Linked DNA regions of Diceros bicornis minor. The protein of the gene in region 3 interacts with the protein of the main gene of each other region in a pairwise test. Links are inferred from orthologs where the notes say so. Each region holds a gene or a part of one and is shown on either strand. Other genes may lie near its edges.

The links.
Region 1: the proteins of CCDC33 (region 3) and PTK6 interact in a two-hybrid assay, tested with the Homo sapiens proteins (2 studies listed by BioGRID and IntAct). The two-hybrid records come from large-scale screens. The link is inferred for Diceros bicornis minor from reciprocal best matches to the Homo sapiens genes CCDC33 and PTK6.
Region 2: the proteins of CCDC33 (region 3) and NCK2 interact in a two-hybrid assay, tested with the Homo sapiens proteins (2 studies listed by BioGRID). The two-hybrid records come from large-scale screens. The link is inferred for Diceros bicornis minor from reciprocal best matches to the Homo sapiens genes CCDC33 and NCK2.
Region 4: the proteins of CCDC33 (region 3) and GRN interact in binary tests that used the Homo sapiens proteins (3 or more experiments, as listed by UniProt). The two-hybrid records come from large-scale screens. The link is inferred for Diceros bicornis minor from reciprocal best matches to the Homo sapiens genes CCDC33 and GRN.

What each region holds. Positions count from the first base shown.
Region 1 is NC_080758.1:663,325-671,343, forward strand, and holds the start of PTK6 (protein-tyrosine kinase 6), read left to right. Parts: upstream 1-4,759; 5' UTR 4,760-4,786; coding exon 4,787-5,016; intron 5,017-7,950; coding exon 7,951-8,019. Other genes in the region: tyrosine-protein kinase Srms, read left to right, coding at 1-119, 616-797, 891-1,047, 1,225-1,418. UniProt on the Homo sapiens protein: Non-receptor tyrosine-protein kinase implicated in the regulation of a variety of signaling pathways that control the differentiation and maintenance of normal epithelia, as well as tumor growth.
Region 2 is NC_080779.1:7,989,140-7,997,010, reverse strand, and holds the start of NCK2 (cytoplasmic protein NCK2), read left to right. Parts: upstream 1-4,571; 5' UTR 4,572-4,753; intron 4,754-7,871. UniProt on the Homo sapiens protein: Adapter protein which associates with tyrosine-phosphorylated growth factor receptors or their cellular substrates. Maintains low levels of EIF2S1 phosphorylation by promoting its dephosphorylation by PP1.
Region 3 is NC_080744.1:67,225,669-67,233,073, reverse strand, and holds the start of CCDC33 (coiled-coil domain-containing protein 33), read right to left. Parts: upstream 3,307-7,405; coding exon 2,991-3,306; intron 2,142-2,990; coding exon 1,777-2,141; intron 1-1,776.
Region 4 is NC_080757.1:42,918,549-42,926,488, reverse strand, and holds the start of GRN (progranulin), read right to left. Parts: upstream 3,044-7,940; 5' UTR 2,973-3,043; intron 1,316-2,972; 5' UTR 1,175-1,315; intron 325-1,174; 5' UTR 318-324; coding exon 180-317; intron 56-179; coding exon 1-55. UniProt on the Homo sapiens protein: Secreted protein that acts as a key regulator of lysosomal function and as a growth factor involved in inflammation, wound healing and cell proliferation. Regulates protein trafficking to lysosomes, and also the activity of lysosomal enzymes.

The DNA.
Region 1 (8,019 bases), on a different chromosome or scaffold from region 3:
GCTCAAGAGCCTGAGGCATGAGCGTCTCATCCGGCTGCACGCGGTGTGCTCCGCCTCCGAGCCCGTGTACATCGTCACCGAGCTCATGCGCAAGGGCAACCTGCAGGCCTTCCTGGGCAGTGAGTGTCCACCCCTGCCGCAGCCACGACCCCCGGGCCCATGGGTGACGATGACACCCGCCCCCTCCCCCGCATGGGCCTGTGACGGTGCACCAGGCATTTTTGTTGGGTGCTCGATTGTCCAGGCCCAGAGGGCTGTGGTGGGCTCTGGCCAGCAGGAGGTTCGGGGCCCTGGGTCTGCGTCAGGCCTGGGCCTTGTGGAGGGACAGTCAGGTCTTTGCGGTTCCAGGCTGGGCAGAGTGCAGGCGGGGAGGGCTGGTCCCCAGCCCCGAACAAGGTCAGTGTGGACCCAGCCCAGCCTGTGCCCCTCTCCGCTTTGGCCGTTCCCTGTCCCTGGTCTCCACTGGGGGCTAGGCTGGGTTAGGGAGCAGCTGGCACTGAGCCCACACAGCCTTGGCGGGTGCTGCTGTGCTCCCCCACCTTAGGGAGGAGGAAACCGAGGCAGAGAAGGATGTGATGGGTGCAGACACTTGCCCCTGTCGGTCTCGCCCCGCAGGCCCTGAGGGCCAGGCCCTGAGCCCGCCCCTCCTGCTGAGCTTTGCCCGCCAGGTGGCCGAGGGCATGAGCTACCTGGAGGAGCGGCGCATCGTGCACCGGGACCTGGCCGCCAGAAACGTGCTTGTGGGCGATGACCTGACCTGCAAGGTGGCCGACTTTGGCCTGGCTCGGCTGCTCAAGGTCGGTGCTGGCTGCTGACCCTGCAGGGTGGCAGAGCGGCTGGGGGGGGAGGGTGCCACTCCGTCTACCCCACCCTGGTCTCCCCTTGCCCAGGACGACATCTACTCCCCAAGCAGCGGCTCCAAGATCCCCGTCAAGTGGACGGCGCCCGAGGCGGCCAACTACCGCGTCTTTTCCCAGAAATCGGACGTCTGGTCCTTCGGAGTCCTGCTGTATGAGGTCTTTGCCTATGGCCAGTGTCCCTACGAAGGTGGGCCACGAGGCAGCCCCAGGGAGGAGGCACACCCTCCCCCGGGGGTCGCTGACCCTGGAAGGGAGGGCAAGAGGCCTCAAAGCTTGGCAGGGTCTGGCCAAGGGCTGGGGGTAGGTCTCCATGGTGACCCCCAGGCAGAAGCAAGGCAGCCCCTGTCCTCGGCCCCCTCCTCAGGCATGAGCAACCACGAGACGCTGCAGCAGATCATGCGAGGGTACCGCCTGCCGCGCCCGGCCGCCTGCCCCGCCGAGGTCTACCTGCTCATGCTGGAGTGCTGGAGGGGCAGCCCCGAGGAGCGGCCGGCCTTCGCCGTGCTGCAGGAGAAGCTGGGCGCCGTCTACAGGCGCCTCCACCCTGCCCTCACGTGACCCAGGCACTGGACGCTGGGCTGGGGTCACTCCTTCCCGCCAGGGCGTCCCCCCGGGATGATGTTTACCATCAACACGTACAGGGTGCCAGACGGCCCATCACCAGCCCGCAGAGCCTCTGGCTGTGGGCCTCACGCCCTGACACACACACTGACACACACACCTGTGTGCACAGGAGGCAGACACACGCAGACACCCACTCAGACAGGGGAGGGGCTGACGCCCTCTGCCCTAAGTGACCAGTGTCCCTGGCGAAGGATGAACTCAGCACAGAAGGCCAAGTGGAGCCCGAGTTTGCTCCGGCCTCAGGGAGAAGCCTTGAGCCTGGGCTGCGGTCCCCCTGCCCAGGCCTGCTGCCCTGGGCCTGCTCGACCCCCTCCCAGGGTCAAGAGCGAGGGGTGGGAATTCCCAATTTTCCCCAAAGTCCCCGCATGGCCTTGTGGAAGCAGTGGTGCCAGGGCTCCCAGGCAGACCGTGGGAACTGGCCCCACATGGCACATGCTGGGCGTACGCTGGGGCGTGGCCACTGCCTCCCACGGGCACACCGTTTCCCGTGTGTAGACCTGAGCACACGGGAAGGCAGCACTTAATAAATACGTATTGACTGACTCAGACGCAAGCAGACATGGCTCACACATGGGCCTCAGCCCCCTGAACCAGAACAGGAGCTGGAGCTGGTGGGGTGGGCCCCCAGTTGGTTTACCCTGGCAGAGGGAGAGCTAACCCCCGCGTGGCCCAGGCCCCCACCCCAGGGCATCTTGGCACCCAGAGCAGGTTGACCCAGAGGCAGCACTACCCCTGGGCCATGGGCAGGACTCAGGTGTCAACAGCCCTTTCCGTCTCCCTGGGGCTGGAGCAGAGAGATCGGGATGGGATTGAAGAGGTGGGGGACTGGGTCAGGCCACGGGAAGGTCAGTGGTGGCTGCGTGACCGTTTTTGGGGGTGTGTGACCCTTGAGGTCAGTTCTCTGGGGATGGGGCAAAGGTGAGAGAGGCAGAGTCTGCCTCGTGGTGCTGGTCCTGGTGTTGCCCTGGCTGTGCAGGGTCAGGCGGGGTGGAGGTGGATGCTGCTGGGTGAGGGCTACTGGGTGATAGCTGGCTCTCTGGGGAAAAGGAAGCAGCCCCGATGCATGGCCTTTGGGGTCTCCAGGGTGTGACTGCTCCCGCCGGGCTGAGGAGCCGGGTGGGACGTGTGCTGTTGGTTCTTGCTCAGCCTGCCTGGCTCCCGTCACCACCAGATGGACAATAGAGGGGCGGGGGGCAGGGCAGATGCGGTCTGTGTTTGTGGTCCCTGACCCCCACCCTCCTGGGAGCCCCACGCTGGCAGCTGTGCCCCAGAAGGCCTGTGGGGACTGAAGGGGCAGACCACGCAAGGCCGCCCTCAGCTCACTGTTCCCTGGAGGGAACGGCCGCTGTGTACGGTTTAGGGTCAGCTCTGGGCCCGCTGAGGCCAGTTAGCCCTTCACTGCTGACCCCAGGCCCTGCCCATGGGCTGGCACTGGAGGAAGCTGGGACCCTTGAGTGCAGATAAATGACCCTCCCTGGGGCCACTCAGATGCTCTGAGAACAGTAGGGACTTCCTGGAGGGGAGGGCGGTGGGGGCACCGCAGGTGGGGGCAGCACAGAGGGATGAGGTCACGTCAGGGCCCAGACCAGCCTGGCTGTGGCCCAGGGCCGAGTGGGGAGAGGGCAGGGGCCCCTTGGAGTCTTGGGTATCAGGCTGGGGCTGGTCCCGACCCAGACGGATGGTGGGGGCAAGAGGGTTTGACCTGAGCCCTTTGACCCCAGCAGCCTAGCCGAAGCTCTGCCTTGGCCTGCAGCCCTTGACCCCCTCCATCCTGTCCTGGGAGACCTGAGGGGCCAGCTCTGGCTCGTAGGCTGAGAAGGTGAGGGTTGGAGGTGAGCTCTTGGGTTCTGGGTGTTTCCTCAACACACGAGCAGCAGTGTGGGACCAAGGGGCTCAGCCACCAGATGGGCATGCCTCTGCTTCCCGAGCTGCAGTGCGAGCCAGGGGAGCTGGACGGGCGCCTCCAGGGAGGGAACGTGCTGGGCTTGGCAACCGGCCAGAGAGGTGGGTGTGTGTGGGGTCACTGCCTCATTCCTGGGGTGTCTCATCAGCCACAAGCTGAACAGGTTTAGTGCTCGGGGCCCCTGGGAGGGGCCGGGGACTTTCAGGCTTGAAACTCTCCTGCTTCCTGGTGCCATTCAGGCGGAACCTGGGCACGTCTGTGCCCCGCGACATGCCTTGGCCCCCTAGACATGGGGTCCCGGGCTGGCCCAAGGGCTGAGGGGACAGGAGCGTGTTGGTGAGCAGTGAGAGGCAGGTTGGGGGCACCTGGGAGCTCCCTGGGCCCCAACATAGGGCCCAGCCGTCCCTCTCGCCCCCTCTGATCTCTCCCCACACCCCCTCTGCTGCCCCTTCCCCACGTGGGGCAGAGCTGAGCTGGGCTGCCCATCGTCTATGAACTTGTTGAACGACACATGTTTGGGTCCGGAATCTTGGAGGGAGTGAGTGGTGCCACGGCTGTCTCTTCAGTCAAAGGGAAAGTGCCAGCACGTAGGGTTTAGTATGTGATTTTCCCCTGGTCACTTGTCCTCACGGTCCTCCTGGCATGGGGGCCGAGTCCCTACACCCCCTCTCTGCAGATCCCTGCCCTCCTGTCCTCGGGAGCCCGGCGCACAGGACAGCTCCCATGGAGCTGTTGGGTGGGCTCCGTGGGGGAGGGAGAGGTGCCCAGGACACAGGACAACCTTCGGGGGTGGGAAGAGAAGCAGCCCTCTGGGGGGCTTCTGGCAGTGACTCTGCTAGGAGCTTGCTGTCCGTCTGTCTGTCCGGATCAGTCCTGGCAGCCCTGGGAGGTGTGGGAAGGAATGACTCACCCCTGGGCCTCCGCCCCTCCCCTCACCCTTCAGCTCCAAGACTCACTCCCCTTGGGTTCCACTTACACCTGAGCGCCCATCTGTCTGACCAGTTGCCCTGCCCTCCCTTCCCCTGGGCTCAGGTCCGGCCATGTAGCCTGGGGCGCCTTAGTGGCTGGTTGGTGCACAGGTTTCCCATAGCAGATGTGCAAGAGTGGTACCCAGGCTGAGCTGGCCGCAGTGGGTAGGAGGACAGGTGGGGGCTGCCGGGGCCCTTAGGGTGGAGCCCAGGTGCCTGAGGAGGCCCGGGAGAGCCCGTCCCCAGTGGGCACGGGTGTGGCCAGCCTGACCTGGCAGCCTCATCACAGGGAAGTGGGCCAGCTCCTCAGCTGGGCGGAGATGGCCTGTCAGGGTTAGCACCGCCTGCCCGTCCTGCCAGCCAGCGTGCCGGCAGCCAGCAGAGTGACAGGTGGCGAGGCCAGGTGGCCAGGTCCTGCCGCTGCGCCGGCAATGGCGTCCCAGGGCCAGGTGCACCTGAACCCCGAGTACGTAGGCCTCTGGGACTTTGAGGCCCGGACAGACAAGGAGCTGAGCTTCAGGGCAGGTGACCTCTTCCACGTGGCCAGGAAGGAGGAAGAGTGGTGGTGGGCCATGCTGCTGGACGAGGCGGGCCTGGCCCTGGCCGAGGGCTACGTGCCCCACAACTACCTGGCCGAGAAGGAGACAGTGGAGTCTGAGCCGTAAGTGTCCCTGTGGGCCCTGTGGGTCACTCCAAGGTGCCCCCAATCCCTAGGCCCTGCGGCTCTGCGAGAGCTCCAGGCAGGGCGGCGGTCGGACAGAGCTCCGTGCCAGGTGGTCTCGGGGGAGGGGCAAGCGTGCTGGGCCGGCCCCTGGGAGGCCGGTGAGGGTGGCGACCCGTGGCTCTGTCTCCCTGTGTTCCCCAGTCAGGACTGGACCCCACCGTCCCGGTCCTGGGAGCACTAACTGGGCTTTCACCAAGTGTCATCTGGGGATGGGGGCATGTGGCCCCTCCCCTGGGCTCCCCACAGTCACTTCGTGGTGCCAGGACCCAGAGAGGACAGAAGGGTCCGCAGTGGGCTTCCGGGTGGCTGGCCGACAGTGATGAGGTCTGCGCGGGGGACTGACACAGGAGCATTGGGCCTTTTGGGGAGTGAAGCTTCACTCACCTTCCAAACAACTGAAACCAGATGTGTGACTCAGAGGGAGCGCTCCAGAAGGTCGTTGCGACATGCTCGTCCAGGGCGTGTGCTGAGGCATCTGCTCCCTGTGCCCTCGCAGCTGCCCTGTCACTGGCAAGGTGGCTCCCAGAGGCGGTGGCCAGCTCTGAGGGGCTGCCTAGGAAGCTTAGACCACAAGGCGCAGCCTGGTGAGGGCGTGTCCACGGCGCCCTGAGGTGGTTCTTCCGAGCTCTGGGCGGGGTGGGTCCAGGAGGGACTCCTGTTTCCTGCCTGCACTCCCGTGATCGTGGTGGCTCACCAGCACCCACGTGGACTGAGCACCAGGCTGTGCCGGGAGAGCACGAGAGCATGTGTGGGTTACTCCCACCGCAGGGAGATAAGCAGCAAACAATCACAGTCATAAAGAGGACAGTTTCAGAAGGCGGGGTCCCATGACAGGGATACTGCAGGGTGGGCACGGCTGGTGAAGGCCCCTGAGGCCCTGAGAGCCCAGCGCATTTGAGAAGCAGGAAGGAGGCAGGGGGGTTGGAGGGGTGAGCAAATGGGAGAGACTGGACAAGTGCTGGATCGGTCAGGGGCAGAGTGTGGACTCCCAAGGTGCTCTCACGGGGCAGTAGCCTTCTGTGCAGGTGCCCAAGTTCCAAAGGTGCCTGAGGGAGTCGAGGTACCAACAGCAGAGCAGCCGGCAGCAGGGGTTATGTGCGGAGCTCTGAAGGCCCCACCCTGCAGTCCAGAGTCAAGGGCTCATCCATGCCCTGGTTCTGGGAGCTGGTGTGTGCAAATACGTGTGAGTGTGTGGGTGCATGCATGTGTGTGTGTGCATGCGTGTGAATGTGTGGGTGCATGCGTGTGTGGGGTGCATGTGTGTATGTGTGGGTGCATGCGTGTGTGAGGTGCATGCGTGTGAACATGTGGGTGCATGCATGTGAATATGTGGGTGCATGCGTGTGTGCGAACGTGTGGGTACATGTGTGTGTGCATGCGTGTGAACATGTGGGTGCATGGATATGGGCATGCGTGTTAACGTGGGTGCATGCATGTGAATGTGTGAGTGCATTGTGTGGGGTACATGCGTGTGAACACGTGGGTGCATGTGTCTGCATGCATGTGAATGTGTGGGTGCAGGCGTGTGTGTGTGGGTGCATGCATGTGAACGTGTGGGTGCATGTGTGTGAACACGTGGGTGCATGTGTGTGTGCATGCTTGCAAACGTGTGGGTGCATGCATGTGAATGTGTGGGTGCCTGTGTGTGTGTATGCATGCATGTGAACATGTGGGTGCACATGTCTGTGTGGGGTGCATGCGTGTGAATGTGTGGATGCATGAGTGTGTGTGGGGTGCATGTGTGTGAACATGTGGGTGCATGCGTGTGTGAATGTGTGAACGTGTGTGTGCATGAGTGTGTGTGGGTGCACGCGTGTGAACGTGTGAGTGTATGTGTGTGAACATGTGGGTACATGTGTGTGAACGTGTGGGTGCATGTGTGCGTGTGTGGGTGCATGCATGTGAACGTGTGGGTGCGTGTGTGAACACGTGGGTGCATGTGTGTGCATGCTTGCGAACATGTGGGCACAGGCGTGTGTGGGGTGCATGTGTGTGAACGTGCAGTTGCATGTGTGTGTGGTGCATGCGTGTGAACATGTGGGTGCATGCATGTGAACATGTGGGAACATCTGTGTGCATGCGTGTGAACATGTGGGTGCATGTGTGTGAACACGTGGGTGCATGATTGTGAACGTGTGGGTGCATGCGTGTGAACACGTGGGTGCATGTGTGTGAATGTGTGGGTGCATGTGTGTGTGGATGCATGCATGTGAACGTGTGGGTGCATGTGTGTGTGTGGTGCATGCGTGTGAACACGTGGGTGCATGCATGTTAACGTGGGTGCATGCGTGTGAACGTGTGGGTGGGGTGCATGCGTGTGAACATGTGGGTGTATGTGTGTGAACACGTGGGTGCATGATTGTGAATGTGTGGGTGCATGCATGTGTGTGGGGTGCATGTGTGTGAACGTGTGGGTGCATGTGTGTGTGGTGCATGTGTATGAACATGTGGGTGCATGTGTGTGAGTGCAAGGGCATGTGTGCATTGCCTTTCTGCCTAGATGCCCAACCCAAGGTCCTTGGAGCTGGAGCCCAGTGTCTGTGGCCCGGGTCACAGGAAGTGGTCCCAGAATCACAGAAGGATGTAGTCCCACAGGATGGGATGGCACGTGTCTGGGACGGGAGACATCTGGGCAGGGTGGTGGGAGCCTGCTTCACCTCTTCCTGGTCACGAGGGCCTTTCCTGGTGTCCATAACTGGCCGTTTGGGGTCTATGATGGGCAAGGAAGGGGCCTCTGGGTGGGGGACACTATCAGAGGGCAGCTGTGGGTCTTGCTCGGGAGCATGAGGAGGCAGAGGGTCAAGTAAGGGTGCTGGGATTCAGGGTGGGCAGGGTGGGGGTCAGCAGGCTCAGGAACCACCCCCCCCCCAGGTGGTTCTTTGGTCGAATCTCCCGCTCAGAAGCCTTGCACAGACTGCAGGCCGAGGGCAACGGGCTGGG
Region 2 (7,871 bases), on a different chromosome or scaffold from region 3:
GGATCCTCTGCAGGCATCCTCTGCTGCATTCAGGCAAATGAGGGCATTCCCTGTTCCTATGGAGTTCTCCCACATTCCCCCTCTCTGTCGTCACGGTTCTAAGCATCCTGTACTGGGAATTTCCTCTCTGTCTTCAACTTTCAAAATCCTATAGTTTGCATCATTCAGAGGTTTTGGTTGCAAGAAAGGGCCTCTGGCTACCTTAAGCAGAATAGGAATTTTTCAAAGAATAATAAGTAGCTCACAGCGGGGCTAGAGGAGCTAGGAGAAGGGGCGAGAACCAAGCAGGTTAATGACCTCTATGGGGAAGTTCTGGGATTCTTCCAGCAAAAGCTCACTGAATCTCATCCTCCCTCCTTTTGGCCACCCTCTCCAGGTTCAAAGTCCCGGGTGGGAGGGTTCTATTGGCCAGTCCCAGGCTGTTCACTCTCACAGGGCTTCTGGGAGTGGAGAGAGGGAGGAGCCTACTCTGCCTCCCACCAAGGTCAGACAGGGGCCTTCCTAAAACCAGTAAGGGGGCTGGATGTAGGGCAGCCAAATTATAGTAGCTTTCCAGGTGTCATCTCTCCAGGTCCATTCCTAATGCCTCCAGCTTTCATAAAACCTACAGCCTCTTCTGATTCTCAGAACATATTTCACTTGGTACTTTGCATATTTAGCTTTATATTATGGTATTTGCATACTGGTCTTGCCCTTCCTGTGAGATTAAAAACTCCACTTACCCTTGTTTCTTCTGAATTGACTCTTATAATGCATTACAAATAGAAATATACTAGAAATGTTTAACTGTACTGACGGTTAAGATAGAAGGTCATGGAAAAGCTGATGTGAGTATTTACCATGTGCCAAACCCATAGTTGAGAGATGTTTACATGATCTCATTTAACTTTCACAACTCTTTATGAGAGCACTATTACTACCCGAGGCCCGGAGAGGTTAGATGATCCCAAGTCACAGGCTTGCAGGCAGGCTGTGGGCCTCTGAAGCTGGACTCAGACAGCGCCCTCAACCTTAGCTTGTGTTCTCTGTGACTCCAAGGAGAGGGTTAGAGGAAGGCTTGCATGGAACTCTGAAGAGGAGGGGGATGAGAAATCCCTTGCTGTGTCCCCAGTATAGGAGGTGGAGATTAGTGTGACTAAGTGGGACACAGTGGGGAAAGCAGAGGGACTGAAGCAAGTAGCTTATATTAGGGCAGGGTAAACAACAAGATTGTTAGGGCAGGACTAAGTTCCAGGGACTTTAGAAGGGAAATCTTAGGATTTAATGCCGATGTGATTTGGGGGCAAAAGTTTATACGTTTTGCACTTTCAATACTTCATTACTGAAGAAATTTCAATAGTAAAACAAACATAGATATACTAATGGAGTAGAATGCAGAAACCTCTACATTTTTAGATAAACCATCAGCTTCAAGGAAATGTCTCGCCCATGCTGGGTCTTGTAGTGGGTTGAACGGTAGCCCCAAAGGACATGTTCACCTGGAACCTGTGAATGTCACCGAATTTAGAAAAAAGGTCTTTGTGGAAGTTATAAGGTAAGGATCTCAAGATGAGATCATCCTGGGTTAGGGTGGGCTCTAAATCCAATGATAAATGCCCCTATGAGAGAGAAGGGGAGAGGAACACAGGGGATCTGGCGTGTGAAGACAGAGGCAGAGATTGGAGTAATGTTTCCACAAGCCAAGGGACACCTGGAGCCACCAGAAGCTGGAAGAGGCAAAGGATTCTCCTCTAGAGCCTTCTGAGAGAGCATGGTCCTGCTGACAACGTGATTTCAGACTCGCCTCCAGAGCTCTGAGAGAGTAAACTTCTCTGTTTCAAGCCACCCAGTTTGAAGTAATTTATTAAGGCCGCCCCAGGAAGCGAACATAGGCATCTTAGAGCTCAATTCTTCAGCCCTCCTAGGAGCAAAGGCTCAAGTCCTTTGCTGTCAGAGGACTTTTGAGGAACTGTGGTGAGCCGTGGGGAGCCATGGGAAGTTCTTGAAGAGGGGAGGGGCAAGATAGAAGCAATTTTTCTGAGAGTTAGGAAGACACTGATGTTCAGTATGAATCTGGGGGTGGGAGGAAGTGAGTAACGGGAGGCCACTTGGAAGGCAACGGGTGCAGTGGAAAGAATGGGAGTTTTGGAGGTGAGTGTGTGCAGTTCTCACCCAGCTCTTTCACTTACTAGTTTAGTTTTTTTATCTGTAAAATGAGGATAATACCATCATGTGTGAGTTACAGATGATATATGTAAAGAATTCAAAAAAGGTACACAAGTATTATTAGTAATAAGGTAAAATTTGGATGGTGACATTGGAAATGGAAATGAAGGTACCATCAAGAGATGTTTCAGAATCACCAGGACTCAGAATCATGAGGATGTATGAGATCATAAGAGGGATCCCAAGGTCACCTAGGGTCCTCTCCTGTCTTTGGGGAAAGCTTGGAGAGAGGAAGGGAAGAAATCAAATTGCAATGATTTTTTCTTTCAGAGCTGAGATGCCTGGTAGACTCTTGGCCAAGCCTAAGACCGTGGGAGGAGGAGCTGGTTTAGGAAGCAGGCAAGTTTCATTCTGAATCTGGTGGTATTGAAGAGAGGCTGAGCTGCTCAGAGGGATGGCAGATAAGCTGGGGAGCTCCCTAAGGCTACAGATCTGGGAGTTAATCACTGAATATCCAGACTGGAAGCATACAAAAAATGATCAACTCTCTTAAAAAAAAAAAAAGGTGCACATCAGGATAAAAACAAAGGGCCAAAGTCTTTGGGATATTACTGTTAGATGCTGGGAGAACAACATGGCCTACAAGGAACAGCCATGGGCAGGTCAGAAAGGTAGCTGTTAGATAAATGAAAAGATGACCACATTTCAGGAAACAGCAGAAACGTTATTAAGATAAAGGTTGAGAAACGGACATTGGGTTTCAGATAGAGAACGTCCTTGGTGACCTTACAAAGAATCAGAGACGGAAGAGGGGTTCCAGAACCATGATTCAATGAAAGTTTACAAAGCAGACAAGTTAAAAATCAGGTCAATGTTGTTATACTTATTTTGAGTAAAGTAATTTAAAATTGGACCAGACCATTTACTATAATTCTGCTTTTCTTATTAGTAAGACAAAATCTTCACGAAAGGATGAACTGAGGTAGCTTCTTTCCCAAGTCAAAGAGAAGGAGGCTGTTCTGATTCCCTGTTTTTTGACCCATCCCTGCTCAGTGCCCTGCACCTCCTTCCAGCTAGTGACCTTCCAGCTAGTGTGCCAGGGACTTACAGCAGAGTGAGGTAAATACTCTCTCTCCATTGGCTAGATTTTAGAGAGGTTAAGAAACACCCGTGCAAGGTTCCACAGTTGAAGAAGCAGATAGTCCACACCCTCAACTATGACTTCAAAATTATACTGGCTCTAGTTACCCTCCTTCAATACTTCCTTTCGGGAACAAGGCAGGGGTGAGCCATTCAAACGACACGGCCTTGTCACCTTGGATAAACTGTTATTGCCTTAATAATAATGAGAAGCCGGGAGCCTAAGAAAGAATCTCATTAACATGGATCCAGGCTATTCCGCCAGGAAATCAGAATCATTTGGATAGCAGGCTTCCCTTTCCGGAAGGCCATATGGGAAGGAAGTTGGAGAAGAGACATCTGGATGCATGGGCCTGTGAAAAGGAAACTGTGTCTTTCCCCTTACAATTGGGTTTTAATCTTCCAAGTTTGTTCACAGGTAAGCCACCACGTGTGGCGAGGTGACCAGACCAGTCCCACTACTAGTGACCACTCCTTCTGGGGCCACGTTCCCGCAGCTCCTTACAGGACTGTGCCCCTGTGGGTGAGCCTGAGCTGGACACGACGCAGGGGAGGCAGCTGAGGTTGGGTTCCTCTCGTCTTAAGAAGTGCTTCCAACAGGAAAGATGGAGTAAGAGTGTCTGGTTGGGAAAGTAAATAGATACAAGGCAAATAAATAAAAATGCTCACAAGCAATTACAGAGAGGAAGTGACATTTTTATGTAAGTCACTTTTCTGATGGACAACAGGCCTGCTTTGCTCAGAGTGCCGTGGGAATGCTTCCGGGAGGGGGGCGGTCGCCAAACAACTAGAGCGCCGTGATAAGAAAATCAAACAAAAAGAGGATGGACAGATCACCCACCAGTCCTTTCAGGGTGGAAGTTGCTGTCTTTATTTCGTCTCTTGTCCCCTCACCCCTCCCCGACGCCTACTCCCCGTGCGAGCAGTTTTGGGAGCGGAGACCCGTTCCTCCCCCTGGCGCCCGGGTCTCCCCGGGGCCGGGCGGCCGCGCGCCCCCCAGGCAGGGCATGCGGAGCCCGGTCCCCTCCGGGCGCCGTTCCCGAGCCCGGCCGCCGCGCGGGCCCGGGAGCTGCCTGCACGCCCCCCGGGGGGTCTCGGGCCCCCGCCGGCGCACGGGCCTGGGCCGGCCCCTGGGCGGTGTCACGGCGGCCGGGGAGGAGCGGCGGGAGGAGGAGGAAGAGCGCGGAGGGGCGGGCGCTGCGCGCCGGGGGAGGGGTCGCCGCCGCCGCCGCGGAGATCGTCAGGCCGGAGCCGCGCGGCCGAGCGGGCGGCGGGCGGCGGGGAGGACTCGGCGGCGGGGAGGCTCGGGCGCCCGGGCCGGCGGGGTCCGCCCGGCCGGCAGCGTCCGCCACGCGGCGGGAGGAGGGAGCGGCGCAAACAAAGAGCGGCGCCTGGGCGGGCGCGGTGCGGCCGCCGCCCCGGGACCCGCGCCGCTGCCCTCCGGCCTCGGCGGGCGGCCCTCGGCGAGGTAAGCGCGGCCGGCCGGCCCGGGGCGGGGGCCGCCAACTTGGGCCGCTCGGCAGAGTTGGAGCGCGGCGGGGCTCGCGGGGCGGGGCGCGCCCGGGAGGAGGCTGCGGGAGCGGGTCCCTCGCGCCCCCCTGGTGCCCTCGGCCCCGCCGCGGCCTGGCCCCCGTGGCGGCGGACTGCCCGCGCCTCCCGGCTCCGCACCTTCCCGCCGCCCTCCCAGCCCCCACCCTCCGGGGTCGGCGCTGGCGCCGCCAAGGCAGCGGCCTGGGCGCGGGGTTCCGGGACCAGAGACCCCGGGGCGCGCGGGGAGCGCCCGGCCTGCGGGCCGGCCGCGGGCGCGGAGCCGGGGGCCGGCGTGGGGCCGTGCGGTGGCCGAGGTCGCCTGGGCGAGAGTCCCCGGGAGGAATGGCCGGGGATCGCCCGGCCCCAGCGCAGGGACGCGGGAGGCCGAGCGCAGCCCGGAGAACTTACTGTGTTTATTGGACTGTTTATGACCCCGCACAAAGCTGCTGTCACATCGCATAAAGGAGGTCCTCGCCTCGGCGAAGGGCGCTTTGTGCCGGGTTTCAGGCTCTGCGTCCTGTCCCAGATTTACAGGACTCTCTTACAGCCACCCGAAAGAAAGTTTCTCACAATCGCTCTGCCCTCTTGGTTTATTCAGAGTGATTTAACTACCAAGTGGTTCTGGAAGAATTTGGTGTGTGACTTTTAAGGTATTGACGGTAACTCCCTTGTGAGCGCAGTTATCGGGGCATCGTGTGGAGGGGTTTAATTTGCAAAGCGCTTTCATTTGTAAACAGTAACGATCGCCTTGGAAGGTCCACGCGGGATGCTGGGGGTCATTGGCTGACGAACACCAGGCACCTGACTTTGGCCCTGTAACAGCTTCAGGGACAAAGCAGGAACGTGTGTGTAGTCGGCCTCTGTCACTTCGGACAATTCAGGTTGGCAATTTCTCCTTTATGTGGCTTTGTTTATTTTGCCGACAGGTTTAGGGCTGAATCTGCAAAGTTTGCGTCTGCATAATGGGATGAGTAGGCCCAAGGGCTGGGCCTGGGGAGCCTAAAACATCGCGCATGCCTACTCCTTCGATTGACTCCCCCCAAAAAGACTGAACCCCGAGAGGCCCGTGGGCATGGCTTCCCGCGGACCCACAGGTGTGGGAGCTCCTTCCTGGTCTAGGCCCAGTCCGGCTTTTCGGAAGGAAGGGATTTTGGTAGGAATGAGAGTAATTTGGGGTGTGTTTCATACCACTGCATTTGATATCCTTAGCAACAGTGCTTTTCAAGTGTTAAAGTGACTGAAAATGAAATTAACCTGGGCTGCTTTAATTTATCAAAACATCTAAACTTTGCTACTGAACACTCCCTTAGTTCACTTACCCAGTGTTGGTAGATAAACGGGTATATTAGTAACAGGACTAGAGCATGTGTGGCGTTTATATAGAGAGAATGGTGGTCAGTGGGCAGCTGGAGAAGTGGGCTTCACCGGGAGAGTGGGCTGTAGATGAAGGTTTTTAGGTATTTGGAACAGGGCTTTCCTGAGAAACCAGTGTTAATCATGCTTGTGAAGAAGTGACCACCAGGGAAAATCCTCTCTTAGTGTTTCTCTCCTGGAGGTTGGTTAGATGTACTTTTGATTGAACAAAGTGGCTGGATCTTAGCGATCTTCTGGCTGCAGCTCCTTGAGGCTGAAATTGAGAGCTGTAAGCAGTGGTAAGCTTGTGGAGGTGCCCAGCCCAACTCAGCTTCCTCTCCTGGAGGCCTCACCTGGGCCGCGAGCTTCTCAGCTGCTACATAAACACTAACAGGATTGATCCTGGAACGCAGGATGACATTGAGTCACAAATTGCCACTGGAGAATTGACTGCTCCCTCACCCCCTCTGCCCACTTGTGGAGAAACTGGCCCTTTTAAAATGGGCGGGGCTTGTTTAAGATGCATTTCAAGTAGCTGTACTCAGTTTTCCAGGCTTTGTGTTTTGCTTTATTACATGCTATATACTTAAATTCTCTTCATCCCTGATCTGTTTGACCCTGTCATATTCCCAGCTTCTGTCATTTGCATTGGGGGATTATTGAAGTTTTCCAAGAAACAGTAGGTCTTAAGTACACAGTGTTTGGAAACGCGCTATCATCCATATTAAATACACCGGAAATCTTCCTTGTATGTGCACAAACTGGATAACCTTTCGAAATACCCTAAAGACTCCCTGATTGCCCGGAGTGACCTGGAGTCCTTTACTTGATCACTTGCGTTAGCTTCATTTGCCCTGGCCATGAGGCTGTGTTGCTCTCTGGGACACACATGCTTCAGTGTGCACTGGGGGAGAGGGGGCTCGTGGACACGGTCCTCCAGCATTAAAGATGAGGCTGATTGACTGAAGAGCTGAAGATTGCTTGCTGGAACTGCAGGGCAGGGCGGTGGATGATGTTTGGGAAAACTAGTAAGCTAACTTTTTTCACAAATGAACTGGAAACTCCCCACAACTCATCCAAGAGGCTTAGGAAATTAGTTTTCCCATCTAGAGGGATTGCAAGTGGTGCTTCCAAATTGTTTCTCTTTCTTAGGATGAATGATTGAAACCTTTCATGGCATTTCAAAGGGCCTAAGCTAAAAATCATATCATGTATGTTGTTAAATGCTTGAAAAGCAGCTTAGAAGAAGGTCAAGACAGCCTTTTAATGGGTTATCAAAAGTATGCAGCTAAAGTAAAAATAGTTTTTTATTTCTTTAGGCCATTTAGTAACACAGTTTAAAAAATTAGACTATTTTTTTCTTTTCCTGCATTTCACTTTGAATGGATCCCAAAGTATGTATATTTCTGAAGGTATAATCAACATCAGCAAGTTATACCCTCCCCCCGGCACATACACAGGCATTTGTCACAGTCTGCCCTGTGGTTTCTTTGTGTCCATACCCTATACACATGGATGGCCAGCGCACACTGATAGAACACATGAATCTTGAGCTCCGGGCCTGTTGAGTTATGAGGGCTCAAGGTTCCACTGAGATGGGAGTAATAAGAGATCTCCAGAATCCTTGTACTCGACTCAGAACCTCTGTGACATTGTGGAAGGTTTTTGTCCCCAGGCTGTCCAGGCGGTGGGAGAATTTGGTC
Region 3 (7,405 bases):
GGCATTAAATAACAGAAATTAGAGCTACTGAGGACGGCTCAGCCTTCCCTGCAGCAGCCCCTCCCCTCCCTTACGTGCATTCAGAGCTGCAGCCTGCAAAGAACTGTCCACGTGGCCCCTGGCTCAGGGTGGCCAGGGCATGCTCGGACCTGGAGAGCGGGGGGCCACTTCTCCCTGAGCTCTGAGCCTCTTGAGTATCTAGTCCCGGGACAAACCGTAGGACAGGGGCCAGGGCCCAGCCCCCGAAGTCAGGCAGCTTGCAGTCTGAGGGAACAGAATGTCACGGAGGAACCCAGGTATCATCCTTCTCACTCACAAGTCAACCACTGTATCCTCAGCACTGAGCAGAGCTGGGCATGCAGTAGGTGGTGAAAAGTATTTGTTGATTGACTGACTAATGAATGAATGGGCAAGAGAAGCTGGTCCCTGGGTCCCTGGTCCGTCCTTCCAGTTCTCCTGGCACATGCTACCAGATCACTCTGTCTGAACCACAGCTCAGATCATGTCTTTCTCCTGCACAAACCCCTCTGGTGGTCCCCCATCGCCTCTCAAACTGAATATCCACCTAGCTCTTTTGCCACTGTCCCCTGACTCTCTATACTTTCCCCCACCCATCAGCCCTCTCCCAGCCCAACTCCCCCACCAGCCCGGGCTCCACTTCAGCCCCAGACCAACGTTCTGCTGGAGGCAGGCACTGCAGAAGAGCCAGGCACCTTCTGCTGTAAACCTTTGGTTTCAACCTCAGATCATTCTGCTGCCAGCCTTCCCCTCAGTCAGCTTATTCTTATCCCTCCTCCTGGAATATCCTCCTTAAAGCCCAGAATTGCCATCCCTAAATCTCACCCACCTAGCATGGGGTCTGACAGAGTCAGCACCTAACAAATGTTTGATGGATGGATGAGTGAATGAACTAACGAATGAAAGATTCATCTCAGATGACATCTCTTCTGAAAAGCCTTTGCTAGGCTGTAAGATCGGATCCACACACTCCCTCACTAGAGCTCTCCTTCTAGCACATGCCTTACAGGACCATATGGTGCCCACGTTGTGCCTGACTGTCTTCACGTCAGGCGGCACCTTGAGCCCAGGGACTACATAGCTTTGGATTCCATACACTACTGTGCACTAAGGTCCCCAGGAAATGTTGTTGGCATTAAATGGAATCAAGCATCCTTGGGGATGATCTTCAGTTTCTCCACCTGTGAAATGGGCTACTACTTGCTCTACTAGCTTCCGCCTGTACTGGCTGTGAGGCCCACCAGACACACTGCCTGGCTGCAGAACATGGCCACACTGGGGAACCCTCCTACAGCTTGGACAAGGATTAGACTCCTGCGCCTGGGCCTGAGGCTGCCAGGGTCCTGGGTCAGCGTTGAGTCCCTCCTGGCTGTGGTGGGAGCTGAAGGGGCTGGAGGGTGGGCACTTCTATCTCACCATCACTTGGGGCCTCCCTCGAAACCTGGTGAGAACGTGTGAGATTGAGTTTGGGGCTGAAGAGTCTCAGGGGACACTCATCCACTGGGCAAAAGAAACCCTACCCAGTGGCGTCCCTGCTCTGTGTGGTCTCTGCTCCATTTTCTTCTCTCCCTTCAAACCGGGACTCCTTGTCTCCATCCTCAGACTGCACTTTCTCAGGAACTGACTGAGGCAACCTAGGGAAGTTCCGCTGCTCTGCTCAGTGAGGGCCTGGGGACAGCCAGTCTTATCAGAGACGCTGGGTCTTCTACTAGCGGGAGCAGTGATGCCAGAACCTGGGCGGGAACCCAGGTCACCCACCTGCAGCCTGGCCAGCTGGGGCTCTGGGCGTGGTGAAACAGGTTCTGGCTGGCCCGGGCCCGGAGAGCAGTTGGAGGAGGGAGGCTGAGGGGCCCGGTGCACGTGGAAGGCCACGCTGTAGGCCAGGCCCCCGCAGTGGCGGGCCGTGGGGTCCGCGCTGGCCTGGAGCAGAGCCAGCCTGCCGCAGTAGCGGTACAGGTCCTTGTGCTCCCGCGCCGACAGGTTCATGCGGGGCTGGTCTGGGCGAGGATAGATGGGGAAGATGGCCTCGCCCACGCGCTGGGCTGCACTTCCTGAGGCCCCGCACAGCCTCAGTGCCTCCACCCTCAGCTGCGCGTCGTGCTGCTCATCGTTCTTGCAGAACCCTGGTGAGGAAACACGGGGTCAGAGAGTCTATGGGGTCTCCTTGCCTCCCCTGGGGGATAGGGAGGACAGCCAGGGCCCTCGGGAAACCTGGGCTGCCTGGCCTTTGCTTTGAAGTCAGGCTTGGCTAAGATTTCCCCGGTGGGTGACCCCCTCTCAGGCCCCACACACGGCTGGCTCCCTTTACTGAAGGGGGAGAGGGGGGCTCTTAGCCTGTGAGATGGTTCTGGGGAAGAGTTCAACCTGTCCCTGATCTCTGGTCACCGGAAGGCCTGGGACTTGGTTTCCCCATTCCCTCATATCCCTCCTCTTCCAGGAAGCCTGCCTGGATGGCCTCATAGTCTAGGCGTGGATCTTCTGCTCCTTCCAGATCACTTAACTATTCTGTTTGGGATTCCTGCCTCTCCACCTGATCTGGAAACTTCCTGAAGGCAGGGCCCGAGTCTCCACCTCTCTGTCCACCCTCCATACTCACAGTCCAGTGGTTCTCAGGGCTGGGCACTCAGGGTGCTGGCTCTAATGTTACTCAGTGTGACGTCCAGTGGGACTGGCCCCACCTGCTGTGTGCTTAGCTTTTGTAAATTCACAAAGCCATTCGTCATCTGTCCTTTCACTTCCTCCTCACCCAACCCTGTGACCAGCATCAGCGTCCCCATGTCACACTGACGGAGGAAGGGGCTCACAGAAGGCCAGCGTTTTCCCAAGATCACACAGGCAGAGCTTTGGGATTCAGTCTAGAGCTCTGATGCTGCCCCTCCCGGTGTCCCTGAGGCTCCCTGGGGTCCCTGACAGGGCTGGGGCAGGAGTTGGAGGGTCCTTCTCTCCCCTCAAACCCTACCCTTGCTTCATACCTTTGGGCAAAGTAAAGATAAACTTGTTCCTGGTGAGGGTGAGGCTCTGGCCAGGGTCCTGCTGCTCAATGACATCGGTGACAGCAGAGCAGGTGGGGAGGGGGTCCCCATCATTTACCTGCAGCTGCACACCAGCCCCAGAGCTGGCCTGCAGGGGGTTCTCAGCTGACAGCCGCAGGGCGTATCTGCCCTCCTCATTAAACCCCACACTCAAGACCTCGAACTCCAGGTCCAGTGTCTTCTCCTCGGTCTTCAGCCTCTGGCTCAGCAGGGATGCAGGGACCCAGGGTTCAGGCCCCCTGAAGGCCATGGCCATATCGGGGACTGACCCCCCCTGGGCTGAGCACTGCCCCTTCCTGCCCACAGTCTCAGCCTGGGCCCAGTCTGAAAGCCCACACGCTGGGTGCTCAGGGCCACACCCCACCCTTCTCTGTTTGTTTGGGGAGAAACCAGGTAACAAGCCAGGAAGCTGATTCTGTCCTGGGTAACAAAGGCAGCCATTGATCTGTCCCTTTTAGCATTTGTTCATTCAACAAATATTTATTGAGCATCTACTATGTGCCAGGCACTATTTTAGGCATTTGGAATGCAGCAGTGAATCAAAGATTTCCTGCACTTCTGAAGCTTATCTTCTAGTGGGGGAGGTAGGTGGGAACAGATGAAAATAAGCACTAAATATAGAAAATAAGTAAATTGTAATATATGCTAGAAGATGATAAGTTCTATGGAAAAAATTAGAGCAGGGTCAGGGATGAGGAGAACTGGTGTGAGGAGCACATGGGTATGGGGTAATCAGGACGTCCAATTTTCGGGAGAGCCTGTCTCCACATGCCTGTTCATTCCCAAGAGTTCTTGAGTTGGATGGGGATGGGATCTCAAGGGGAGAGGGACAGTGTATGTTCCTTGGGAGCATGCCCTTAGCACCTGCTTCTGGAACCAGTGTACCTTCTTATTTAAAACTCACAATATGGGGCACAGCTTCACTTTACAGAGAGCCCAGAGCTTCTCATACCAAAGAGTTGTCAAGCTGGAACCCATCCTTCCTGATCCTGGGTCTTGCTGATACCCAGTTGGGGAGGGGAGATTCTAGACACTCCTTAGTAAGAACCATCTCTACCATCATCACTATTACCACCACTATTACCATCTCTACTATCACCATCATCACCACTACCACCACTATCACCACGATCACCATCACTACCATGAGCACCACCTTCACTATCACCAACACCATTACTACCACCACCACCACCACCACCACCATCACCACCACCATCACCATCACCACCACCACCATCACCATCACCATTACTACCACCATCACCATCAGTCACCACCACCACCACCACCACCACCATCACCATCACCATTACTACCACCACCACTACCACTACCACCATCACCATCACTACCGCTATCACCACCATCACCATCATCACCACCATCACCTCCATCATCATCACCTCTATCATCATTCTCATCATTATCCAGTATCATCATCAGCATCATTTATGATACTCATCACTGAGCAGCTATTGAGTGCCAGGCACTCTGCATGGCTCTGTGAGGTAAACATAATTATCCCCATTATACAGGTGAAGAATCTCAGGCTGAGAGAATCTCAGATCACGTGGCTAGCAAGAAGCAGAGCTGAGATTTGAACCTAGATATTCTAAGTCCATCTATACTTTCCCCTACTAAACATGTCCTGGGACTGGCTCAGAGATTGAAATTCATACTATTAGGGGCTTCTGTACCCTAAGACTGTAGAAGTACAGTTCTGAGTCTGAAGAGTACATTTATGGACAGCATAGATTTCATTCAAAAGAGTTCACTTGAAGTCACCTTGAGTAGAATGCGTCATTTTCATAAAGTAAGAAATAACCAGTCTAAAGATGGTATTGGCCAGCCCAGCTAAGCGCCCCAATGTATATGGGAGTCTTCCTCTGCAATGATGGCGATTCAGTGTCTTCAGGTCCCCCAAGGAGAAAATGAGGCAAACAGGCTTTAAAAGACCAGAGTTCTAGTCACCTGACTTGCAGATCCCTTTCCCTCTCTGGGTGTCAGTGGCCCCATCTGCACGATGGGTGGAAGTCGAGTGGCTAAGTCTTCCCACAGCACCGGCAGTCTGAAATTCTCTAAGTCATATCGGGAAAGGCCACAGTCTGGCCATTTGGGGAAGAGGTTCCAGAGGCTCCCTGGAAACCTTTGTCTCAACAGCTAGGCCTGGCCCACCAGCCTAGGTCCTGAGGCCATGGTTTGCCTCTGCTAGGTCTAAGGTCTTGGAGATTCAGTGATTCAGTAAAAGTGGCCCTCTCCCCTTGCATGTGTGAAATCACCCCCAGAGATGTTACAAGATGGAAGGCAGTCTCTCTGTCCTAGGGCCAACCTCTGTGCACTGCACCCAGCCCCCACCCCTGCAAGCCGGTCCCATGTACACAACCCTTCTTCCCAGTCTGTTTATCTGAGCTTGGAAGATAACACCTCCCTCTTCCCCCCTTGCTCCCTTCTTTCCCTCCCTCCACATTTCTACAGAGGATCTGAGGTGATTGTGTTGGTCTTAGCATGTTTTGAGGGCCCTCCACAGCTGATGCCCCCACGCTTCCCATTGCTAGCCTCCCCTCCCCCACTCAGTCTCTGGGAAAGGCTCATTTTTTTGGTGGGTGTGTATGGTTACTTTCTTAAAAATTGTGGTAAAATATACATAACATAAAATTTACCAGCTTAGCCATTTTTAGGTGTGCAGTTCAATAGTGATAAGTATATTTACATTGCTGTGCAACCAGGCTCCAGAACTCTTTTCATCTTGTAAAACTGAAACTCTACGCCCATTGAACAACTCCCCATTTCCCCTCCCCCAGCCCTGGCAACCACCCTTCTATTTTCTGCCTCTATGAACCTGACTACTCTAGGCACCTCATATGGGTGGAATCACAAAGCATTTGTCCTTTTGTGACTGGCTTATTTCACTCAGCATAATGTCCTAGGGAAGGCTCACTTTTGCCCCAGGCCAGGCCTGCCCTGTCTCCCCTCCCTGCCTTTGCTGGTGCTGCTTCCTCTGCCCAAACTGCCCAGCCCCACCTGATGTCCTCCAGACGGGCTAAAAGGCTCCTCCTCTGGCGCCAGAGTAGTATCTCCCTCCTCTGCCACACTCTGTACCTCCCTCTCCAGTCTCAAATGATGACTTGCCCACACTCGACTGAACATCCCTTCAGGGATCATGTCTGTGTGCCCAGGACAGAGCTGGGCAAGGGGTTGGTGCCTGGAGGACTGTTAAAGCATTATAGAATGAATGAATGAATGAATGAATGGAAGGATAAATGAATTGATGGACAAACCAAACCCAGCTTCTGCTTGTGCAGAAAAGAATAAGAACTGGTTCTTTTGGCTATTTTATCTGGATTCCATCTGTGAGAAGTGATGACCATACCTGGACTCAGATGCATCTTGGTGCCTAGGTGGGCAGGCAGGTCCCCAGGAGGGAGGGCAGCAGCATGGGGGTAAGTGGCAGGGCAGGAGGCAGTAGTTCCTAATGCTCAGGCTTCTCCAGGTCTAATCTCAGTTCCACGGAGAAAGTCTGAAAACCTCAGTGAATTTTAGCAGGTCAGGGCTGGATAGCACTCCCATTTTATAGGTGGAGAAACTGAGCCCAGGATAGCAGAGCAGGACCAGATCCTTACTGCCTTCCCAGGATTCCCTCCACTCCCAGCTGCCTCCCTGATTCAGCCTCCTGCAGTTTTCAGAAGGTTTAAACTCCAGGCAGAGGCCTGGCTCCCACAGAAGGAGTCAAGAAGGGGCAGGGTGTGGGGTGAGGAGAGGAGACGACAGTGCTGACTGTAAGTGGACTTCTGCAGTCCCAGCATGAAAGGCCTTAATGGGGCCCTCAGTCTTCTTTCTTCCCCAGAAGAATGGCCACTCAGAGTCCGCTGGCTTTGTCTGGAAGAGCCTGGGGTTTTAATTAGCCCACCCCAGAGGGCCCCCTTCCTGTTTCCCACAGTGGCTCCTTTCAGCCTCCCCTGCTGACACTCCCCAGGGCTCCTGTGGGCCCTCAGACCCCCAACCTCAAGGACTCACCTCCAACTTGCCCCACCCCACCCCACTCCTGGCCTCTGCTCAGAGCTGAATCCTCCTACAGGGACATCTGTGAGTTCACTGGATGCTCCCAAGGGCCTGGGAGCTGGGACTATTATCCCCTCCTGCAGATGGGGAAACAGAGGGGCAGAGAGATCTGGTGGGTGAGTGAAGGGGTGGACCTGGACCTCAGGTCTCCTGATTCCCAGGCCAGTGTGATCATGTGATCATCACCGCTCCGCACCGGGACTTCCACGTCCAGGCCCCCTCCAGCAACCTCCTCCCCACAGTGGAACCATCCCAGGCGCACCCCCTCTCCCTTCAAGCCCACAGCGCCAGAA
Region 4 (7,940 bases), on a different chromosome or scaffold from region 3:
CATCTATCCGGCAGGGTCTGCCCAGGCGCCTGCTCAGTGCTGTGGGCCATTTGTCCTGGGAAGTGAGAGGAGAGGATAAACTGAAGGACCCAAGCCTGTCCCCCTCCTCTGGCCAATCCAAGATGCCCCTTTGGGAAATCCCATGATACAAGCTCTGGCGTGGGCTGAAGGGCACTCACCAGAACAGGATTGCAACAGCTGTAGCTGGCTCCTCCTGGGTCCAGGCAGCAGGCCACAGGGCAGAGCTGACCATCTGGGCACTGTGTTCCAGCCACCAGCCCTGCCACTAAGGCCACCCAGCTCACCAGCGTCCACATGGTCTGCCTGCAAAGTAACAAGAGGCCTTTGGAAACCAGCTTAAGCCCATGCCACCCTTGACTCTGGGGCCAGTCACTCCCCAGCCCCAGGCCCAGGGCTACTTGAGCCTCCCCAGCAACTCCTTGTCCAGGCAGCAAGAAAGTGTGGGGCCTGAGACTCAGCTTCCTACATATGTCCTGTGTGTGTGTCACACGTGCACCAGCGCAGGTACACCCATGAGCATGAATGCTGACGAGTACACGTGTGAATCTCTGTCCCCACCATGTGGCTTAACACCTGAGTCTCTGTGGGTGAGTGTGTAGAGATGTGGGCACGTGATAGGAAGATTTATGAGTTTTGTGGGTCTGATCTGTGGGGATGTGGGCCACCTGTGGGGGGTGGGGAAGGCATCAGTAGCCATAGGAGGACAGGGCTAGGGTGCAAGGAGGGAGTCCCCCACCCCGGAAGAAAAGCCAGGATTCCACTTCCGCAGCCAGCCCCTTCAGATGCCTCCTCAATCAATACTGTGCTCACACCTGCACCCTGCTAAGGCCTGCTGGCGGGGGAGGGGAGGTCACATGATGACATGGGAAACCATAGGGTTGAGAAAGTTGTGAAAAGGGAAGTGCAGTGGCCAGTGGAGTCTCAGCTGCCTTCCCCAGAGGCCAGCCACAGCCCACCCACTGACTGTCCCCTCCCCACCCAGGGAAGGGGACACAGAGGCTGGGTCAGCCTTTGAGACACCTGTGTTCTAAGGACCCCCAACACCACCAGGCCCTTTCAGACTCCCCAAAGATACCACCCTCTTACCCCTGCGTCTCCCCCTACCCTGGAGCCGAAACTCAGCCACAGGTAGAGACAGACCACATGTGCCCACCTGACTGCAGATCCCAGTCAGAAGGAACCGAGCCTCAGTCTCTCCGGGGGGGGGGAGCAGCCTCTCACTTCCTACAACTCTTGCCCCAAGTGCCACCACCCTGCTGGTTGAATAGGGCAGGTCCAGGGGATGTCACGCTGCCTAGAGGGGCAAAACCAAATATGTTTATTGAACCCCTTGGGAGCCAGTTACAACACTCTATTTTCTTTATTCTTTGCAACAACCATCCAAAGTAGTAATTATTACCTTTACTTTTCAAAGGAGGAAACTGAGGCTCAGAGATGTTAAGTAACATGCTCATGTCACATATCAAGTCATGGAGATGACAAGCTTTGATGGCTCCAGAGCATATTGGACCTGGGTTCACCTCACAAGTGGCATGATGGACAGTGCCCGGGAATGGACCCCAAACCCCAGGAGGGAAGAGGCCTGGGGTCCAAGCAGAGGAAGGTGACAGAGGCATTTCCTGGGCAGGTGGACCAGGCAGGACAGACATGGGGAGTGCAGGGGCTGCCTGGATACTGCACTTGGGTCCTCGTCCTAGAATTGCCACCACTGACCGAGAGCGCCTCAAAAGTTGCTCCCTATCTCCGGGCCTCAGTTCCCCACCGAGTCTGTGTGTGGACACAGCACACAGTGTGTGGCAGGGAATCGCACTGGCCCAGGCCCTCACATCCCCTCTCCCTCGCCTGGCTTTCCTCAGGGTCCCCTCCCCAGCTCAAAGACCATCACCAGGAAGCCATCTCGCGGCCAGGTAAGGATGAAGAAGAACAGTCCTGGGCCACAGCCCCATTCACCCTCTCCTCTATGCCCACAGCTCACAGGCAAGGCATACACAGCCGGCCCACCCACTTCTTGGGAGTCCAACCTCGACCCTCCACAGGCTGTCTCACTGCCCTGGCTTAGGCAAGAAGCGATGCGTGTCTGCACAGACCTCGGACTATTCGGCACCCTAGTGATTTATGTATGTATATTTTCCTTCCTGGGTATCCTGAGGTTAGGGAGTATAGTGTATGCATCTACTGAATACGCATGCCCGCACATGCACACACAGGACCAGGGATGGAGGAGGAGAGGCCTAATTCCTCTCAACAGGGTTCTGAGTGGAGGCCTCTCTCACCCCCACCCCACCTTGCCCCAGTAGAGAGCGACGACAGGAGCCTCTTCAAGCCCCCACCTCCGTCATCTTCCACTAGGTGGCACCCCCCAACTCCGATTGCCAGGAGGAGAGAGATTCCCAAAAAGTGAGCCAACCCAACTGCGAGTGAGCAGGGAAAAGTGGCAGGGAGAGGCGGAAGTCAGCTTGTCCCACCCCCCACGAGAGGAAGTAAGGGAGAGCCAGACACAACCCAGGGGTTCAGTCACCACTCCCAAGCCCCTGCTACCTTTGAGGAGGCCAGGGTCTCAAGTCCCACTCCCAGCCCTCTGAGCTCCGGGACCAGGGGTGGGCGTCTCTCTCGCTCCCAGCTGCCGCGGGGACTACCCACCACCACCAGCACCTGCCCACGGGGGAGGAACCGGCTCAAGAATGGAGTGGTCCCTGCTTTGAGGAAGCGGCTGCAGCTTCCGGGGATGCTGGAGGGGAGAGAGCTCCCTTCTAGTGGGGGTCACTGCAATTACTGCTTACTACCACCCCCCATAAAACTCCCTCCAGTGCATCGCAAATCCCCCAAACTCTCTAAGCGACTCTTCCCTTATCTCCTGGCTGAAACTCCGGAGGAACCTTAAGCTTCCATGTCTCCCTGGGCGGGCCCCTGGGAAGGAGCAAGCGAGAGGTGGGCGCCGCCGCCCGCCCTACCTGCGTCAGGGTCGGCGCTCCCTGGATAGCAGGAGCCCGGGAGCTCACGGACTTGGGCCTCGCAGCGCAATGGCCCTCCCACCTCAGTTGCCATTGGCCAGCCGGCCCGGGGTGTCGCGCTACCATTGGCTACGCGCCTGCTTAGAGGCGGGGCTAGGCTGGAAGGCGGTGCTTCTTTCCTACTCAATTCGCTGTCCTCCCTCCCTTCGTTTCTCTCTCGTCACTCCCTGTTTCCAGGGATCATGTGATTGGAGAAGCATGTGATGCCCTAGCCTGCTCCGCCGGGATGGGGGTGCCCGCCTCCCCGCCTTCTGTGGGCGCCTGGTAGAGTTTGCCCGAGATGGAGTAGCGTCTGTCTGGGGACATTGACAGCCAAGGGAGCTGCCCCTTAGAGAGTGCGTTCAAGGGCGTTTACAGGATGTCCGCTTCTGGATTTGGGACATTTGCGCATCCTGTTTCTGTTCTCTTCAACAAACTCAGATTAAATGCTGGCCGGCCAGGCCCCAAAGAGGATGGAAGGAGAGTTGTGAGGGCAAGGATGAACAGCCCTCAGGCACTTTCCTCGAGGTGCTCGCAGCAGGGTGTGGGTGGGTGGAGAATGGAAGACAGGCTCAGATTAAATCTAATTTAAGGTACAAGGGCGTGTGCCAAGTGCTATGGATGTGTATGGGAAGAGGTAGTAGGTTGGCTCTAGGCGGGGAAGAAGAGATTTCGTTCCACCTTGGGGGCACCTTATTGAGCTGAGTCTGGGAGGATTTTAACTGGCAGGTGGGGAGAGGTTGGAGAAGTGGCTGGACAGGGGGTGATGGGAGGAGCGTTAGGAAACCAGATGGGAAGGGCAGCCTTGGGCAGGGATTGAATGCCAAGTTCAGTGTAGTGGACTTGAGGAGCTGCTGTGTGTCTGGCTCAAGGCTGGGCTGGGGTGGGTGCATAGTGGAAGTGGCTTCCTAGTTTCAGTCGGCCCTGCCTTCCAGGAATTGACAGGTCGGGTGAGGAGAGAAAATGTACCACACAGAACAGATTAGCCAGCAACAGGAGGCAGACTGCTCAGTGCCAGAGGGCCTGGCCCAGGCCGAGATGAGTGATAGGAGATGCACGGGGAGAGAGGAGAGGCCCAGAGAAAGCCTGGTGCCTGGGAAGGAAGGGGAGTGTTGGTTATGCAGAGTAGATGGAGAGCGCTGAGAGTGAGGCTGGGGTAGGGAACAAATAGCCACGCTCAGGGGTGGTGGGAGTCTGGGTAGGGAAGCAGTGGCAGGGCTGAGGAATTGAGTGGAAGCAGTGCTCAGCCTGGGGCCAGAGAAGGTCCAGAGAGTGGATAAGGCTCCTGCCGAGAATCAGGACTATTCTGCAGGCTAGTAATATTTGTGCATGTTTTCTTTCCTCTGTATCCCGAGGCAAGAAGGTACAGCTTATGCTTCTATTGACGAAGCTCATATGCACGCGCGCGCGCGCGCGCGCGCGCGCGCACACACACTTTTCATGAAATGTTAGGCAGATCAATAAATGTACCTATTAATCAGAACTACACAGAACAAGAAAAAAAATACACACAGAAAAAGAAAAAAACTAGAGTGACTGAAACAAGTATCACAAAATCCTTAAAGAGGTGATTTGCCCACCAGGGACATTTGGCAGTGTATGGAGATGTTCCAGGTTGTCACTACTGGGGGGAGGTGCATCTAGTGGACAGAGGCCAGGGATGCTGCTAAACTTCCTATAGTGCACAGGACAGCCCCCACAACAAAGATTATTCTGCCCAAAATGTCAGTAGTGCTGAGGTTGAGAAACCCTCTCTAAAGGATCAGAAACTTTCTCCATGAAAGAACTCAAAGTTTTCCTCCCACAGAGCCTCTTTTCTCTTATTTCATATATTTTAAATAAACGTTGTCATCTGATTTCCCAGTAAAAGTAGATTATAGAAAGATCAGGGGATGTATGGGTGGAAGTTTCTAGAAGCAATCACTTTGAGTTTAGCAAGGATTGAAAGCATTTAATAGGAAAAATTGTAAAAAGCAGACTGAAGAACTTAGAAACCCAACATCCCGGGGACACTGAGTATAGGGGGAAACAGTTTTGGAAGACTCAATGGGCCTTACCAGCATTACTCTTAAAGGACAGTAGTTAATAGTCAAAGTATGAACCTGAGCATTCAGAAGAACTTGAATCATATGCAGTTACTCTGATCACTATGGCAAGGAAATGTGGAATATAGTTACTAAACAGCTTCTCACACTAGATACAGGGAACCTCCACTTCAGTGGAGAGGGTACAGTTCCCACGAGGACTGCAGAACATCTCCCACATTCCTCAAGAAATGTTCCAGCGTCCTTAAACCCTCCAATTCAGGAATCTCTCTCCCTCTGCTTTTTGCTTTTAAGGAGGGAGTATCATTTTGTGAATAGGAAAGACTGAAAAGAAACAAACTTCCAGAGTCACAAAGAGATTTGACATCAAAGTGTCTATCCTCATTTGCCCCGTTCCCTAAGCCCTCCCAGCCCCCTTGGCCAGGCCTTGTGATTTTTAATTTTGATATAATCAATTGACTGTAAATGTGAGGGTTTATTTCTGGACTCTTAGTTCTATTCCATTGATCTATTTGTCTGCCCTTATGCCAGTACCACACTGTCTTGATTACTATAGCTGCTTGGCAAGTTTTGAAATTGACAGAAGTGGGAGTCCTCCAACTTCTTTTTCAAGATCATTTTGGCTATTCTGTGCCTCTCAAATTTCTATGCAAATTTTAGGATGAGTTTCTGCAAAGACAGCTGAGGTTTTGATAGGGAATGCACTGAATCTGTAGATCAATTTGGGGTGTATTGCCATCTTAACAATATTAAGTCTTCCTATCCATGAACATGGGATGTCTTTTAATTTATTTATCAGTTTCTTTTTGACAGTTGCCAAGTGTTCCATGCTATAGATGTTATGTAGTTTACTTAACCAGTCTCATTTTTTTTCTTCTCCCCAGTGCCCCAGTACATGGTTGTATATCCTAGTTATAAGTCCTTCTAGTTCTTCTTTGTGAGCCGCTGCCACAGCCTGGCAACTAACAGGCAGGTGGTGTGGTTTCGAGACTGGGAAATGAACCCGGGCCTCCAAGGCAGAGAGCGCAGAACTTTAACCACTACACCATTGGGGCTGGCCATAACCCGTCTCATTTAATGGACTTTTATGTGTTTCCAATTTTTTGCACTGCAAAAACAATTATACAATGAATATTTGTGAACATGTCTTTGAGTGTACATGTGGGAGTTAAATTTGTAAAAGTAACACTGCTGGGTAAAGGGTATGCACATTTGAAATGTTAATGCCCCTCATCTAGCTCAACCCCCTTTCTATGCAATGAGGAAACTGGTGCTCAGTGAGGACCTCCTCTCCAGTCTTGAAAATTTTTCCAGTTTACATTCCCAGTCACACTATTTGGGAAACTTATTTCCCATATACTCACCAACATTGGATACGCCAGTTAAAAAATTTTTTTTGCTTATCTAATGACAGAAGATATTTCCTGGTTGTTTTATCTGCATTCCCTTGACCTCTAGGGAAGTTGAGCATTTTTGCCTATGCTTATTCTGCATATGTATTTCTTCTGTGAATTGCCTGTTCTTATCTGTGTTAGTCAGGGTTCTCCAGAGAAACAGAACCAATTGATGTGTATATAGAAAGAGATTTATTGAAAAGAATTGAGTCACGTGACAATGGAAGCCAGCAAGTTCAAAATCTGCAATGTGAGCCAGCAGGCCGGAGGCGCAGGAGAGTCTGATCGTGCAGATGAAGTCTAAAAGCAGTTGCTGGAGAATTTCCTCTTGCTTGGAGAGGCCAGTCTTTTTGTTCTATTCAGGCCTTCAACTGATTGAATGAGGCCCACCCACATTATGGAGGGCAATTTGCTTTAGCCAAAATTCACTGATTTAAATGTTAATCTCATCAAAAAACACCCTCCAAGTTGACACGTAAATCTAACCATCACATTATCCTTTGTTCACTTTTCTACAGTGTTTTTCTTTTTCTTGTTGGACTATGAGATCTCTTTATATATTCTGGATATTACATATGGTGCAGATATTTCTTTCCAATCTGTCATTTGTCTTTTATCTTTATTTATGGTATCTTTTGCGGTCAGAAGCTGTGTTGTTATGTTATCGGAAATCTAGCAATCAATTTTTTCCTTTGTGGCTTCTGCATTTTTTTTCCCTCCTTGCTTAAGAAGTTATAAATATGTTTTTCCTTGTTCATTTCTATTCCTGCTGCAGCCCCAGCTGAACTGGACCTCAGATACCAGGCTTGTGCTGGATTGAGGCACCGTAATTGACAGGAGGTCCCACTCAGGAGCCTGGCACGGAGAGACCCCTGGATATGTCCCTCTGGCTAAGAGGTTCCTCCAGTCAGCCCCAGGGCTGCTTTCAGAGGTGATGGTCTGGATAAAGGGGTTGGGCAGCTCCCTTCTCTATCCTGTCTTCCACTTTTCTCAGCCTCTCCCTGTTTCTTCCAATCACCCCTCAGTGTTTTCTTCATTCAGAGTTACTGTTCTGTCCACATAGAAGAGTCACAGCTACCCCAGGACAGAGGCTATCTCCCCCCAGGATCTTGCATTGCCAGGTAAAACACAGGATGCCTGGTTAAATTTGAATTTCAGGGGCTGGCCCGGTGGCGTAGCAGTTAAGTTTGCGTGCTCCACTGCGGCGGCCCGGAATTTGTGGGTTCGGATCTGAGGAGCGTACTGACGCACCACTTGTCAAGCTATGCTGCGGTAGCCTCCCATATAGAGTAGAGGAAGATGGGCATGGGTGTGAGCCCAGGGCCAATCTTCCTCAGCAAAAAGAGGAAGATTGGCATCAGATGTTAGCTCAGGGCTGATCTTCCTCTCACACACACACACACACACAATTCAGATTACAAACGAATTTTTTTAGTGTAAGTATGTCCCATGCAATATTGGAAACATACTTATACTTAAAAATTATTCAT